2 linked regions of the Astyanax mexicanus genome follow. The protein of the gene in region 2 purifies or fractionates together with the protein of the main gene of each other region. This does not show direct contact. Links are inferred from orthologs where the notes say so. Each region holds a gene or a part of one and is shown on either strand. Other genes may lie near its edges.

Region 1 (7,612 bases), on a different chromosome or scaffold from region 2:
CTTATAAATTACTTAGAAATGTAACCTTTCCCACACTGATAGATGTCAATGACTTTGTTTTCTCTTCTGTTTTTGAATTTCCTCAGATTTCGGCAGAATATGTGACTTTTTGAAATCTTTTAGCTGCTTCATGTTGTCAGACAGGTTCTATTTAAGTAATTTCTTAATTCTACAGGTCTGGCAGTAATTTAGTCTGGATGTGGCATCACAGTTAATCACAGTTAATGATCACAGTTAATTCCCTTAATAAATGAAATTATCATTTAAAAACTGAATTTTGTATTTACGGTAGTTAGGTTATATTTGTCTGAAGTTTGTTTGATAATCTGAAAAATGTAAGTATGACAAAATAGCAAAAAAAAAAAGAAATCTGTAAAGTGCTCCCCCCTCTTTTCTATGAAAAAGATACTACTTTTGGGAAGTGTACCTCCTGGTGAAAGTTCATTGACTGCGATGATGACATCCCTCTATGATGCTCTCAGTCACCTCTAGTAGTGATATGAGGAGAACTAACATCTTAGCGATATGTGCATGTGTTTCCTGCCATTCCATCTTTCATATTTCAGCAGGACAATGTTCTTAACTCTCCTAACTCTCTCCAATGGACTCCTTTTCCCAGAATGCACCGTACTCTGATCACACACACAGTCACAATCACATGACCACTCTCCCCAGATGCACATCACCTGTTTTCTAATTGTTTGCACCTATCTTTAGCACTATACATAGCCCCTTGTCTCTTTTGTGTGTCAAAGAGTATTATTCTGGTTTTGTCCAACATTACAAAGCATTTCTCCTACCTGTTGTTTCAGTTTTCCATGTATGACCTTGTTTTTCCGTGTATCTACCTAAACTGTCTAACTACACTTTGGTATGTCCCTATTTTTGTATGTTCTCCTCACGTTGCCAACTCTGCCTGTATTTGTATAATTTTTATACTTTTTTCCCATTTTCTCCCCATTTTAATTGGACCACTACCCAACCCACTCATTGCATTGCTGAGTAGCATTACAGCGCACTCAGAGGAAAGCACAGCGGTTCTGATACATGAGCTTACAGACACCTTGTGCTGATCGACATCACCCTTTGGAATGATGAGGGGAGAGAGAGCCATCTACTGATCCAGAGAGAGCAAAGCCAGTTGTGCTCCCTCCGACACCGTTGGGAAGCTGCATGAACAGGATTCGAATCTGCGATCTCCTGATCATAGTGGCAGCGCTTAGCCCGCTGAACCACTTGGAGCCCCCAACTCTGCCTGTATTTGATCACTCTTTTGGATTTTTAATGCTGAAATATATACATAAGTTTGATCAGGCAGATTTGCATTTATACAGCTTTGTTTATGTTGCCATTGTTTTATGTACCAACCCTGGAGTCACATTCATCAAGATTTGCATGACCTCCCGTGAGCTCTTAACGGCTGTAGTGGAGCTGTTGCGTCCTCCCTACAACAGCAGGGTCATTACAGCGCCGTTAACAACCCTCCTACTGTTACTCAGGAAACCCACACCGATGGAGACACTCCGTTATGGACAATTAGCTTCACTTCTCACAAAGAATGACCTTCATTACGCTGCTGAGTGTGCCATTCATGAGCTTTTAGAGACGGACAGCGTTGTGTTCTCACTGTCCACTTTATTACAAACACAAACCTTGCTGGTCATACCTTGCCTGGTTTATTTTATTGTCATTGACCACAAGTTACCATGGTGTGACAATAGAAGCATGTAGCCAACAAAAAACAGCTGGTCCAGGAACTGCCCAAGTGCTTGATACTTTTACAGAGTGCAGCCAAAATACTAACTGCCCACTACTTATATGATGTTATGATGGAATCCAGCTTATTCCTGCATGCCTACCTTTCAGAGTTTGTTTCTTCTGCGTTTGTGTTAGAATATTAAATGGTTTCTGGTCATACTGTATTTAAAGTGAATTAAAAAGTAGCTAGCTATGCTAACCTCAAATTTCAACAGCTATTTTATTGATGATTCCCAGGACTTTCAGAAAACATTCTGTTGATGAGACAAAACAGAACCCTTTGGAAGACGTGTGTCCTGTAACATCTTGTGTAAAAATAACACATAATTTCAGAAAAAGAACATCACACTGAACATAAAACATGGTGGTGGTAGTGCAATGATCCTGGCTGCTTTGTGGCACAATCAAGTTAATAGGTTTAGGGGGCAAATATTTTCATTTAGGGTCAGGTTAGTTTGGATAGATTTTTTCCTTAAAAAAATAAAAACATCTTTTACACACTTTTCATATCTTCCTCAGAGTCACCAACCCTGAGTTCAGAATCCAAGATGGCTGCCACGCACATTAACAGTAGTAAAAGCAGTAGTATTATAAAGTATATAAACATTTATATCTGTTTGTGTCTCATTAAATCATTTGTAAACATAGCACTGTCCAACATCTACATGTGGGCATGTTTCCATGGTGATTAAATGTGCACAATATTGTGTAATGTGCTGTTGGATGGCAATCTTAGGGTGTACTCACACTAAGCATGGTTGATTTGTGCTGGAGCACGGTTCTGCCCCCTCCCCACTCCCCCACTGGCCTGCACTCAAACTGTGTTTAAACAATCCGTGCCCGAGCACGCTTACGTCATCTCTCACTGCTTAGTGGGCTTGCCGGTGATGTGAAAATTGTGCACCCCTGCCATGAAAAGCACCCTCTCTCGGGAGCATGTACACACTGCACTGTCTTCTTGATTAAAGTGGAGATAATACACTTCAACTTATTTAGAAATACACACCAAAAATCACAGTTATCTCAGTCATGCTTACATACAAAGCGACAAAGCGCCCGAGAGGGGGCGCTTTTCCAGGCGGGGGTGCTGAATTTGGGACAACAGAGCCATGTTTGTTTATAGGAACGTCACATCACTGACATCATATTGGTCCATGCTTGGGCACGGGTAGTGCTTACACTGCATGCGTACTGTGAAGTAGTAAAACGAGCCGTGCTTTGAGAGGTAACCGTGCCCAGGCATTGCATGGATTGTTTAGTGCGAGTACATCTTTAAATCCACGACGTGACACAACAAGAGGTAATCTTCTTCTTGACTCAAAACACCAGCCTGCTCTGAATCCTCAATCTGACTCTCTAACACGCATGCAGATGTGCTACAATCCTCTCTGTAGGTCCTTCAAGGATGCGCCTGCATCCATGAACCCCCCCCCCCCCTCACTGTGCATCGTACATACTCCTCTCATCATCTCTCAATCTGAATACCAGCATTAACTCAGCCACTGAAAACACACTCAAATATGTGTCATTCATATTTGAACACTTCCTTAAATAGAGTTTTTTTTATGGCAACCAACTGTGTTATATACTGGCATAACAAAGAAATGTGTTTCTTTATCAGAACCAACTGTGTTTAATTCTTTTGACTATTTATTCTATTTATAAGACTTCAGACTACATTTCCAGTCATACATGCATCCACTCAAATTGACAAGGTGAACAGTTTAAGTGAAAGTAGAGTATGTTGAATTGTTAATGATTACTTTGTTCTGTTTTAAAGATAGAGTCTTATTTCTAAAATAATTTTGGGGCTTCTGGACCAGAGTCTGCACAAAGATTCATGTCTTGTCATCTATTGTGTATATTTGGTCTGGTGAGTTCTGGTTTCACACCACAGTTTAGTGAACAGTGAATAAAATAACTTTTGTGTCGTTATCTGCAGGCGTCATCTCCATACCTCATATTAACTTGTTTGAAGACTTGTTTTTTGATTCGCTTTGTTAGGTGTTGTGCTGAATTTGGACCAAACAAGGTAGATCCAAAAGCACCCTTAATTTATTTTGACATTTTACCACAATAGGGTGGACATAATGAAGACAATGAAAAATTTTATGAAATTAATATTATTTACAAAATAAATAAATGCCCATAAAAATGAATAAATATATAAATAAATAAATAAATGCATGCATACATAATTGTATACATAAATAAATTATTTTATAAATACATTTTGTCATTAAAAAAGTACACACTAAAAATGATATCATTAATATTTCATATCAATAATTTTTCATATTTCTATGCATAAACCTTTATTTGAGGCTGTTTCTGCATTTATTTATTTAGGCATTTATTTATTTCCACATTTCTTTATGTATTCATTGATTAATTCCCACATTTCTTTATGTTTTTTATTTATTTATTTATTTTCACATTTCTTCTTTTATTATTTCTGCACTTGTATGTTAATTAGGTAGGCGGTCCTATCCTCGCTCTAAAGCAGGATTGGTCAACTGGTCATACAGACAGAAGCAACCGGCTTCTAACTATTCTAACGTTAGAGTAGAATATATGGAGAAATGTGTAAATAAATTAAAAATAAATAAATGTTAAAATAAATAAATAAATGTTGAAATAAATGTTTTAATAAATAAATAAATGTTAAAAAATAAATAAAGGAATAAATAAATAAATGTTAAAATAAATAAAGGAATAAATAAATAGATGCAGAAAAATATAAATAATTAAATGTAGAAATGCAGCAATCAATAAATAGTGTGTGTGTGTGTGTGTTTTCTGTTTTCTCTCCGGGGCTGTAGGGGGCGGTATGTTCGGGAAGCCGCTCCGGATCAGCGACACTGAGCGAGAACACAGAAGTTTTGCGGTAAACGGGCAGTGTGGGGATATTTACCCTTAAAACAGGATTTCTATTGGAGTAGAGGAGGCGTGTGTGCAGTATGGATGTTGGAGAGCTGCTGAATTACCAGGTATTTACGGCTTTAACTCCTTTAGTTTTGTGTTAAATGATAAAATAGCTGTGGAGTGAGTGAGTTAGCATCACCCGGCAACAACAACATCAGCAGCAGCTCGAGCATGTTAGTTAGCTTAGCTAACTAGCTAACAGACCGGTGCAGCTCCTGATTACTGCTGTTACTGTGCTTTAAACCCCTCCTGGCACTGTTTTTACAAGAGTCCCTTGCTTAGAAAAATGCTATAATATTAATAAGCTGTATGTGTTTATCTAATAGCGTTCATACAACCCTTTAGTTTGTCAATTTAGCTTCTCTTAGGAGCTCTTATTAACTTACTAATACAGAGAGAGCTACAGTCGGTTTACACACACACACACACACACACACACACACACACACACACACACACACACACACACACACAGCTTAAATAGGTTATGTTACCAAACTACAGTGGCAAGAAAAAGTATCTGAACCCTTGTGTTGACCTCAAAGAAGCTAACTTACCTAGTCAGAGTCAAGTGCTAGCATACCTGGCGTCTTGCTTGTTTGGAGGTGTGTAACTTACTGAAGCTAAGTTGACTGGGGAAAAAAAAACTCTGCACAAAAAGATACGCGTATCAAGGATCTGAAATCAAAAGTTGTTGATTTACCAAAAGCTGGAAAGGATTAGGAAGAGAATTCAGAGGCTGAAGAAATTCTCAGATCTACAATAAGGCAAACAATTTACAAATGCAGACTGTTTGGGACTGTGACTACTAAAATACCAGCTATTGATTCCAAAGATTCGCTTGGTTTTTCTGCTATCACTTTGAGTGTTGAATGAGTGTGTCCAAGATCATAGTTTGTTTGTGTGTTATTATTTTAGGCACATTATATTTGTCTACCTTTGACTTGGATGAAGACCAGATCGCATTTTATGACAAATTTATGCAGAAATCCAAGACATTTCAAACGGTTCCAATACTTTGTCTTGCAACTGTGTAAAGAGCAGTCATACAGGTGCATCTTAAAAAAATTGAGATAATTGAAAAGTTACTTTATTTCAGTAATTCAGTTCAGAATGTGAAACTCTATATTATATTATATAGATGTATTACACACAGACTGATACATTATAAGCGTTAGAATATTATATATATATATAAGACCAATAGGTACTTTTGGCACTGTGGGCAGTGTGCCAAGTCCTGCTGGAAAATGAAATCCTCATCTCCATAAAAGTTGTCAGCAACTGGAAAACTCTGCACTGACTTTAGACTTGATAAAACACCGTGGATCAACACCAGCATACATGTCTATCCAAACCATCACTGATTATAGAAACTTCACACTAGACCTCAAGCACTTTGGACTGTGTGTCTCTCCACTTTTCCTCCAGCCGCTGGTCCAATGATTTCTAAATAAAATGCAAAATTTAGTGATGGTCCGTGATGGTTTTCATGATTCACTCTTGCTATTTTAAAGATTTATTGAGAAGGTTTTCGAGCTGCCTTCATGCTCACCTTTGTTGTTTAGTGGCTTGATGGTGGACTCATAAGTTTTTACATTAGCCAGTGTGCAAAAAGGCCTTTAGTTGCTTAAGATGTTCTTTTGGGTTTCTTTGTGATTGCACAGACTATTGCATGCCTGGGTGTTTGCTGGTGGATCACGTCTGGGGATCTGTCTCTCTGTGGAGTGGTGGTGTCCTCTCAGTTTAGAGATGAATTTAGTATCTTTACTAGCCTGATGAGCATCAACAACCTCAGGGCTGCACACTATATTGTTTGAGTATCATCTTTGCAGTGTGCACAAGCTAAATAGTTATATTGCAGGACCTGCAATGTAGGGACACTCTGATTTTTGCAATGCATGAAACAGGGACTTAATCACAAAACCGAATGTTTAATGGATTTCAAATATAAAGAGAAAAAAGGAGGAAATAATAATAATAATAAAAAAAGAAGAAATCCGGAACTGAAAAAATAAGCAAGGTTACTTAAGGCAAATTTAATCATGCCACACCTTTCTTAATCCAAAAGTAAATTCAGCACTGTTTTAAAGTTTAATTGCATTTTTTCAGATTGTATTTGATTACTCCAAGTGCCTTTTATTTTAAATACATGAAATGCTTTTATGTGTTATATGCTGATTCAATGACATTTGTAGAAATCTGGTGATCTTGTATTTAATATTGCAGTATAGATATATTGCAGTAGTGTGATAAATATATATTTTTTCCCAATATCATGCAGCCCTAAACAACCTTTTTCGTGTGCTCCTTAGAAATCTTTTGGTGTTGTGAAGCTCAAACTTTGATAGATTCACGTTTTTTTTTTTTTTTTTTACCAAAAACTGGCTCCTACCACTCACACTTGATTAATCATACCATTGATTGGAAACTCCTGACTCTAATTTTGAATGATCTGTTTTTTCTTAAGGATTACACACTATTGACACTCAGAGATGTTTAATATTGAATTGAATTTTCTTAATTGGAAGCGTTCTGTTTTGTCTCATATCTTTGATTTGGTTCTTCTCATGTACTTAGTAAATTTGTGTCTGATCTTATGATGCTTTAGGTCAAGTTTATGCAGAAATCTCTAAGTTTGAACTTCAAGCACCACTGTGAAAGGCTAATATTTTTGTTTAAAAAGCTTATGCCATAACAAATGCTAATTATGTTTTACAAATATTGTGACCAGAATCTTGATAAAATGATCATTATTACCAGTTATTCTATTAACAGTTATTCCTTGTCCTATATAACTTCATTCACCTTGTGTTCTCCTCATTTACAGCCTGACCGAGGAGCAAAGCGACCCAAGGAAGAAGATGGCGGCGATGAACCTCGGGCCAAACAGAAAACATCCAGCCGAGAAGCTCTGAGGTACACAGCA
Region 2 (7,269 bases):
GCAGTTCCAATATTACACATTATAGCACCAACATCAAGTGTATTATCGCTTAAATGAGGAAATTTCACACCTGGTATACAGATGCCTGGTATGCTATGCATCTGAAATAAAGAGATTTTAAGCGAATTCAAGTCTATGCCAGTTATTTAATCATGGATGTACTGAATAGGGAATTCTACAATTTCAAATACATTCATAGCTAAAAGCAAGTAATGAACTTTATTTTAGGTTTATTCACAATCACAGAACATGTTTTTATCACTTGACATCACTAATGCTTATAAAAAAAAAAGTTTTAATTCTCACTGTCATGCAAAATCCTTGAAATATGGAATCCAATATTAAATAAGACCAAGGCAAATTCCTTAAAAAAACAACAACCCAAAACCATAATCCCCCCTCCACCAAACTTTACACCTGTCACAATGCAGTCAGTTCAGTCAGAAGTACCCTTCACCTGGCAAATGCCAAACTTTTAGACTCTCAGATAGGCCGACTTATCGTTTAATGAATTGACATGACTTCAATCATTTTAATAATCGTGATATTGCCCATTGTGTTGGCACTTACAAAATGCACTTACATATACTGTGACTGTGGGTGTGGCCACCGTGACCCCGGAGTGCAGAAGCACAGAGAGTCACAAAAACAAGTAGGGAATGAACTCAAAACTTATGGTTTTCCCAATACTATTAGGAAAAATGGCCTCCATCCACACCCAAAACAAGCATAAAGAAACATAACAACGGCCCAGTGAGGCTCTAGTCGCTTCACTTTAGTGTTTCTTAGGTTCGTGTTGCCTTTAATTCTTCTCACCGTCACCAGGCAGGGTCTTTATGCTGGTTCAACGCATGCCAGCTGGGACAGACCGTGGCTGCACTTGGCAAAATTAGGTGCGGTTCCAAACTTAGGTGTGTGAAAAGGAATGGAAAGTTTATTGTCTTTAAAAGAGTTCATTCCTTTGTTATGATACTATTTTATCATTTTATTAGTGCCAAATTAGTGGTCTAAAAATGCCAACAATATGGTTTATCGCAATAATTTCTGGGAAAAAAATATCGTTCGCAAAAAATTGCTATCGTGACAGGCCTACTCTCAGATTGACAGATTTACAGAGCTCCTGATGGCGACCCATTCTTTCACTAATGTTTGTAGAAGCAGTCTGAATACTTAGCGGGTTACTTTTATACACATGTGGCTATGGAAGTGATCAAAACACCTGAACTCAATGAATAAGCCGGGTAATTGAATATGTTTGGCAATATAGTGTATGATACAATTCTTGCATTTTCTTTTATTTTATTTTCAAATCATTAAACTGCAAAATAAACTGTAAATTGGCTTGAAGGCAAGGAGTTTTTTTTTTTTCCCTTTAGTTTACCGCAAACACTGCACTTTGGCCCAGCAAGACAATGCGCTGTACTCAAACAGACACACAGGCGAACACTGCCAAAAACAGCAGCATGTGAATGACACTGATGTGCTCAGACATCTGTACACGGCTTTATATACATTTCAAAATTCACTATATGTCCAAATATACAGTGGTGTGAAAAAGTTTGGACACCCCTAATAATTTTCATGAGTTTCCTTTATAAATCATTGGTTGTTCGGATCAGCAATTTCAGTTAAATATATCATATAGCAGGTGAACACAGTGATATTTGAGAAGTTAAATTAAGTTTATAGGATTTACAGAAAGTGTACAATAATTCTTTAAACTAAATTAGGCAGATTCACAAATTTGGGCACCCCAACAGAAAAATGACATCAATATTTAGTAGATTCTCCTTTTGCAGAAATAACAGCCTCTAAACGCTTCCTATAGCTTCCAATGAGAGTCTGGTTGAAGCTTCTGGTTGAAGGTATTTTGGATCATTCTTCTTTACAAATCATCCCCAGTTCAGTCAGGTTTGATTCAGGTTTCTGATCATGAACAGCTGCTTTACATCACACCACAGATTATATTTCAATAATATTCAGGTCTGGGGACTGAGATGATCTTTCCAGAATGTTGTACTTGTTCCTCTGTATGAATGATTTAGTGCTTTAGTAGATTGTGAGCAGTGTTTAGTGTTTAGGGTCGTTGTCTTGTTAAAGTATCCAGCCCCAGCTCAACTTCAACAACTTTCTCACTGATTCTTAAACATTGTTCTCAAGAATCTGCTGATATTGACTGGAAACCATGAGACCCTCAACTTTAAAAAGATTCCCAGTACCTGCACTAATCACACAGCCCCACAGCATGATGGAACCACCACCACATTTTACTGTGGGGAGCAGTAAAGTGTTTGTTTTGGAATGCTGTTTTCTTTTTCCGTCATGCATAAATAAGCGTCCTCCAAATAACTCAATTTTAGCTTTAGCGTACCTCAAGCGACTCTGTTTGTGGCGCGTGCTCAGAAAAGCCTTCTTCTGCATTTCTCTCCCATACAGCCTCTCCTTGTGTAAAAGTGCGCTGAATAGTAAATAGTTGAACGATGCACGGTGACTCCATCTGCAACAAGATGATGTTTTAGGTGTGTGGAGCTGGTCTGACTGTTCTCACCATCCTTCTCCTCTGATTATCTGAGATTTTTTTTGTTTTGAGCTTTTTGTATCCTTCCTCTAAACCATGATGTTGAACAATCTTTATTTTCAGGTCTTTTGAGAGTTGTGTTTTGAGGCTCCCATGTTGCAGCTCCTCAGAGAAGATGCAAAGAGGAGAAAAACTTGCAATTGGCTCCTTAATCCTTTCTCATAATTCTCAGGATTCACCTGTGTTTGTAGGTCAAGGGTCAAAGAGCTTACCAAACAAATTGTGTATTCCAATAATTAGTGCTATTAGTTATTTAACATTTATGCACCTGCTTTTTTGTGTTTAAATAATTATAGCACACTTTCTGTGGATCCTATAAACTTCATTTAACTTCTCAAATATCACTGTGTTCATCTGTTATATGATATACAGTATTTAACTGAAATTGCTGATCTGAAGAACCAATGATGTATAAAGAAAAATCATGAAAATGATAAAGGGTGGCCAAACCTTTTTAACATAAGGACACCCCTCCTAATAAATATATTCAGCTCAGATGTGCAGATTGACACACAGCTTGTTTAGACCCTGCACAGAAGTTCTGCCAAAAAAATAGGACTCTCTGAAGCAGATAAACGTGAACCTCTATCTGCACGTCCTTTTAAATAGCAGTTGCTATAAATAAACATGTCTTTGTCTGAGCAGTTTAAATGCACGTTAGCCCTCCCAAACCGTTTTTAAAAAGAGCTCTCACCCAATCAGGGACCCCCTCTCGCTCAAGTGTATCGAGATATGTCACAGATTCTTCTATACGTCCTTCCTCCTCCATGCACTTTCGGCACTCTCACTGACTTTTTGCATGACTCAATCAATGAGTGACTTTCGTCTTTCGGAATGACGAGCAAGCTGGACAGGTGAGTAAAAACAAAAACACATAAAGCTGAGAAGAGAAAAAATATATAGAGAGAAGAAATCCTGCGAGACATACTATTGAAGCACTCTAGTATCATTAAGAATTAATCTATATTTATACTTATAGAGAGAATAGAAATGAAAAATGTCATGAGGTGTCTATCATGATAATCATGGTAATGCAACGTCATTTTCAGACTCTCTCTACTTTCACTAGACGGGGAATGAAACTGAGAAACTGTTGGTTTGTGCTTTAGTGTGCTTTAATTAGCTCGGCACGGTGCACTATTCAACTTTTCGGCACACACTCTAAAATCTGCACATCTCTGTACTGTATCTTTGCATCTGAACTGAAGAAAAACATAAAGATTTAAAATTACAGTATATATATATATATATATATATATATATATATATATATATAGCCTTAATCTCCTAGGAAGTCTAGAAAAGATACAAAGCAAAGATACTCAAATGAGTAATATTAAGGCAGTCTCCGCACGCATGAGTGCACCGGTGGCTGTCGTAAAATTAAAACCGCTTGCTCACTATTCTCCGAAACCTGAAACTAAATGCAGCGCATGGTTTCAATATTTATTTGACTTCTTTTCTTTGTTGTTCTGATGCCATTCTGACTGAAGTAATGAAGTGATGTAGAACTTACCTGATCCTTCTGCTAAAAAAGTCTCAGAAGAACTCCCACCCTTGTCTTGCTTTGCATGGGCAATGCTACAATGCTAATAACAGCAGCACTTAGCATTAATTCACACTAACGATGTTCCTCACCGGATTTTTTGGGTGGGTGGGTTTGTTGTACTGCAGCATTCTGCTCACCCAGAAGAAGTTTATCTATCACTACAAGAACGTGCGCTGGGCTCGTGGGAGGCATGAGACTTACCTCTGCTTCGTGGTGAAGAGGCGAATCGGACCAAACTCGCTGTCCTTCGACTTCGGGCACCTGCGCAACCGCTCCGGCTGCCACGTGGAGGTGAGTGATGGACGGACGGACCGCACACTGCAGGAGAAGGAAATGCGGAAGTGACGTCAGGGAGTGTTAGATGCTCCACATGCATTAAATTAGCCAGGATTATGAATGTCCTGATCAGGTTATCTTAACCGAGTTTCTTAAAGGAAGACTTTTGTTGTAGTAAAACATGATAAAAAAGTACTTAGCTTTGTTGAATAACACACCTCCACTCTCCCACACAGCTTTCTGAAATACAGTCATTTAGTGCTTTTTGCCCAGCACTCTGTACAACGGGTGATAAATAGCTTTTTCCACCGTTCTCCAGCTCAAAGTAGCTCCACATCTCCTTGCTAGAATCCGGAGAGCCCTGACATTTAAAACGAGGCATTAATAACTTAAAAAATGCACAAGAAGATTAATATAGGTGTATTAAACACCTTCTCCAGTGCAAATAAATGCACTGGGCACTGGCTGCTACACCAGGAGGCAGGCTACGCGGAGTCTATGTATATATGTCTATGTGGAATCTATATATGTCTATGCTCATGATCAGAACAATGATGGCTCCACCCTGTGATAAGCTAGCGTTATGGGATGTAAACAGTGTTTTTTTAATGCTTTAGTGCTTCTTGTGCACTTTTAAACTTATTAATGCCTCGGTTCAAATGTTAGAGCTCTCCAGATTCTACCAAAAAGGTGAGGAGCTATTTTAAGCCAGGATAACGGTGTAAAAAGTGATTTATCAGGGAAAAATATGGCACGATATGCACCCTTTGTACAGAGTGCTGGGCAAAAAGTACAAAATGACTCAAAAAGCTGTAGGAAAGCGAATGTGTGCTGTTCAACAAAGGTAAGTTTTATCATGTTTTACTACACCCAAAGTCCATTTTACACCGGATTTCTTCTTTAATGCTGAGTAAAATTCTGATCTGAGCTTTGTGTTTGTATATATAATACAGCCAAATAGACTGTCGGAAGGATGTAAGATAGTAATGAGCATCGTGACGCACCTTGTGCGTTGTAAACTGAATTGGGATTAAAAAAGCAGAGTCCGGATTCATTCAAATATGCCAGGATCAGCACTGATTCCGAGTCATTGCATCAGATTGAGACATCCCTAGACAAGACACCAAAAACTGGTGTCTGAGGTTTTCTCTGTTGGCATCGCAGCTGTGAAGCTAACGTATAAAGGTAACAAGTAATAGGAGTCTAGAGCTTCCTAAACCAGAGACTCACCTCAAAACCAAGTAGTTTGGAAATGCCTGTTATGTGGTTTTTGACACTGTATGACTCACAGTTACAATTATATAACCATGCAGAGAACTGTGTGAGATAGCAAAAAAAAGTGGCAAAACAATAAAGCCTGACTTATACAGTGGTGTGAAAAAAGTGTTTGCCACCTTCTTGATTTCTTTTTCTTCTTTTTTTCTTCTAAAATGTTTCAGATCATCAAACAAATTTAAATATTATTCAAAGACAAACCCAAGTAAACCCAAAATGCATTTTGTAAATAAAGGTTTTTTATCATTAAGGGAGAAAAAAAATCCAAACCTACACAGCTCTGTGTGAAAAAGTGTTTGCCCCCCAGTTAAACCATAACTTTACTTTGGTTTATCACAGTTGAAATTCTCTAATCACAATCAAGCCTGATTACTGCCACACCTGTTCTCAATAAAGAAATCACTTAAATAGAAAATGTAGACCAAAAGATACTCAAAATCTAGACATCAGGCCGATATCCAAAGAAATTCAGAAACAAATGAGAAAGAAAGTAATTGAGATCTATCAGTCTTTTTGTGACTTTATAGCGAACCACAGTGAGAGCCATTATCCACAAATGGCAAGTGGTAAACCTTTCCCAGGAGTGGCAGGCCAACTAAAATTACCCCAAGAGCACAGCTACGACTCATTCAAGAGTTCACAAAAGACCCCACAACAACATCCACATAACTTCAGGCCTCACTTGTCTCAGTTAAAGTCAGTGTGTGTACAAAGTGTCTTTGGCCTAGTCAAAGTTCTGACCCGAATCCTACTGTGATGCTGCGGCATGACCTTAAAAAGGCTGTTCATGCTCAAAAAACACTCCAATGTGGTAGAATTACAACAATTCTGTAAAGAAGAGCGGGCCAAAATTCCTCAACAGCGATGTGAAAGACTCATTAAAAGTTACCACAAACGCTTGATTGCAGTTGTTTCTGCTAAGAGTGGCCCGACCAGCTATTAAGTTTAGAGGGCAAACCCTTTTTCACACAGGGTGTCACGTCCTCGCCCTGTTTCTCGCTGTCTTTGTGCCTGTGTGTTATTCCCAAGTGACCCCTGCTCCTCTGTGTCTCCTGTCTCAGTAGTTTTCCACCACGTGTCTCATTTGTAGCTCCGCCCCTTCCCCAGGTGTTTCCACTTCTAGTGTGTTTCATGTTAGTATAAATAGCCCTCCTCTGTCACTTGTTCTTCGTTGGTCTTTGCACCTTCACCTGTCTCTCTGTGTCTCTCTGTGTCTCAAAGCTTCTCTCAGTGTTTCCTAGTCTCTTGTTTCTCGTTTTTTTTTCTTGTTTTCTCGTTTATAGTTTATTTCCTTGTTTATTTCTAGTTTATTCCCTTGTATATATATTTCCCTAGCCCTGTTCGTTATTTATTATTAATATTCCTAGTTGGTTTAGTTTATGTTCTTTAGTTTCTCTCGGTTTTTGGTTATTAGTTTATCTGTTTTCAGTTATTTGGTTTATTCCCCAGTTCCTTGTATATATCTCCCTGTTTTATGTTTACGTGTTTATTTGTTTCTCGTTTCTTTGTTTATTTATATATATTTATTAAATTATTTGTTTCACCCTACCTGCACTTGCGTCCGTCTCCTCGTCTCCCTGCCTGGGTCTCC

The links. Proteins that work in one complex are often made in the same cells at the same time.
Region 1: the proteins of aicda (region 2) and ctnnbl1 purify together in Homo sapiens (affinity purification with western blotting; 3 studies listed by BioGRID, with this or other methods). This does not show direct contact. The link is inferred for Astyanax mexicanus from reciprocal best matches to the Homo sapiens genes AICDA and CTNNBL1.

What each region holds. Positions count from the first base shown.
Region 1 is NC_064420.1:14,715,246-14,722,857, reverse strand, and holds the start of ctnnbl1 (beta-catenin-like protein 1), read left to right. Parts: upstream 1-4,587; 5' UTR 4,588-4,718; coding exon 4,719-4,748; intron 4,749-7,513; coding exon 7,514-7,612. UniProt on the Homo sapiens protein: Component of the PRP19-CDC5L complex that forms an integral part of the spliceosome and is required for activating pre-mRNA splicing.
Region 2 is NC_064413.1:6,983,351-6,990,619, forward strand, and holds the start of aicda (single-stranded DNA cytosine deaminase), read left to right. Parts: upstream 1-4,180; 5' UTR 4,181-4,205; coding exon 4,206-4,418; intron 4,419-7,269. UniProt on the Homo sapiens protein: Single-stranded DNA-specific cytidine deaminase. Involved in somatic hypermutation (SHM), gene conversion, and class-switch recombination (CSR) in B-lymphocytes by deaminating C to U during transcription of Ig-variable (V) and Ig-switch (S) region DNA.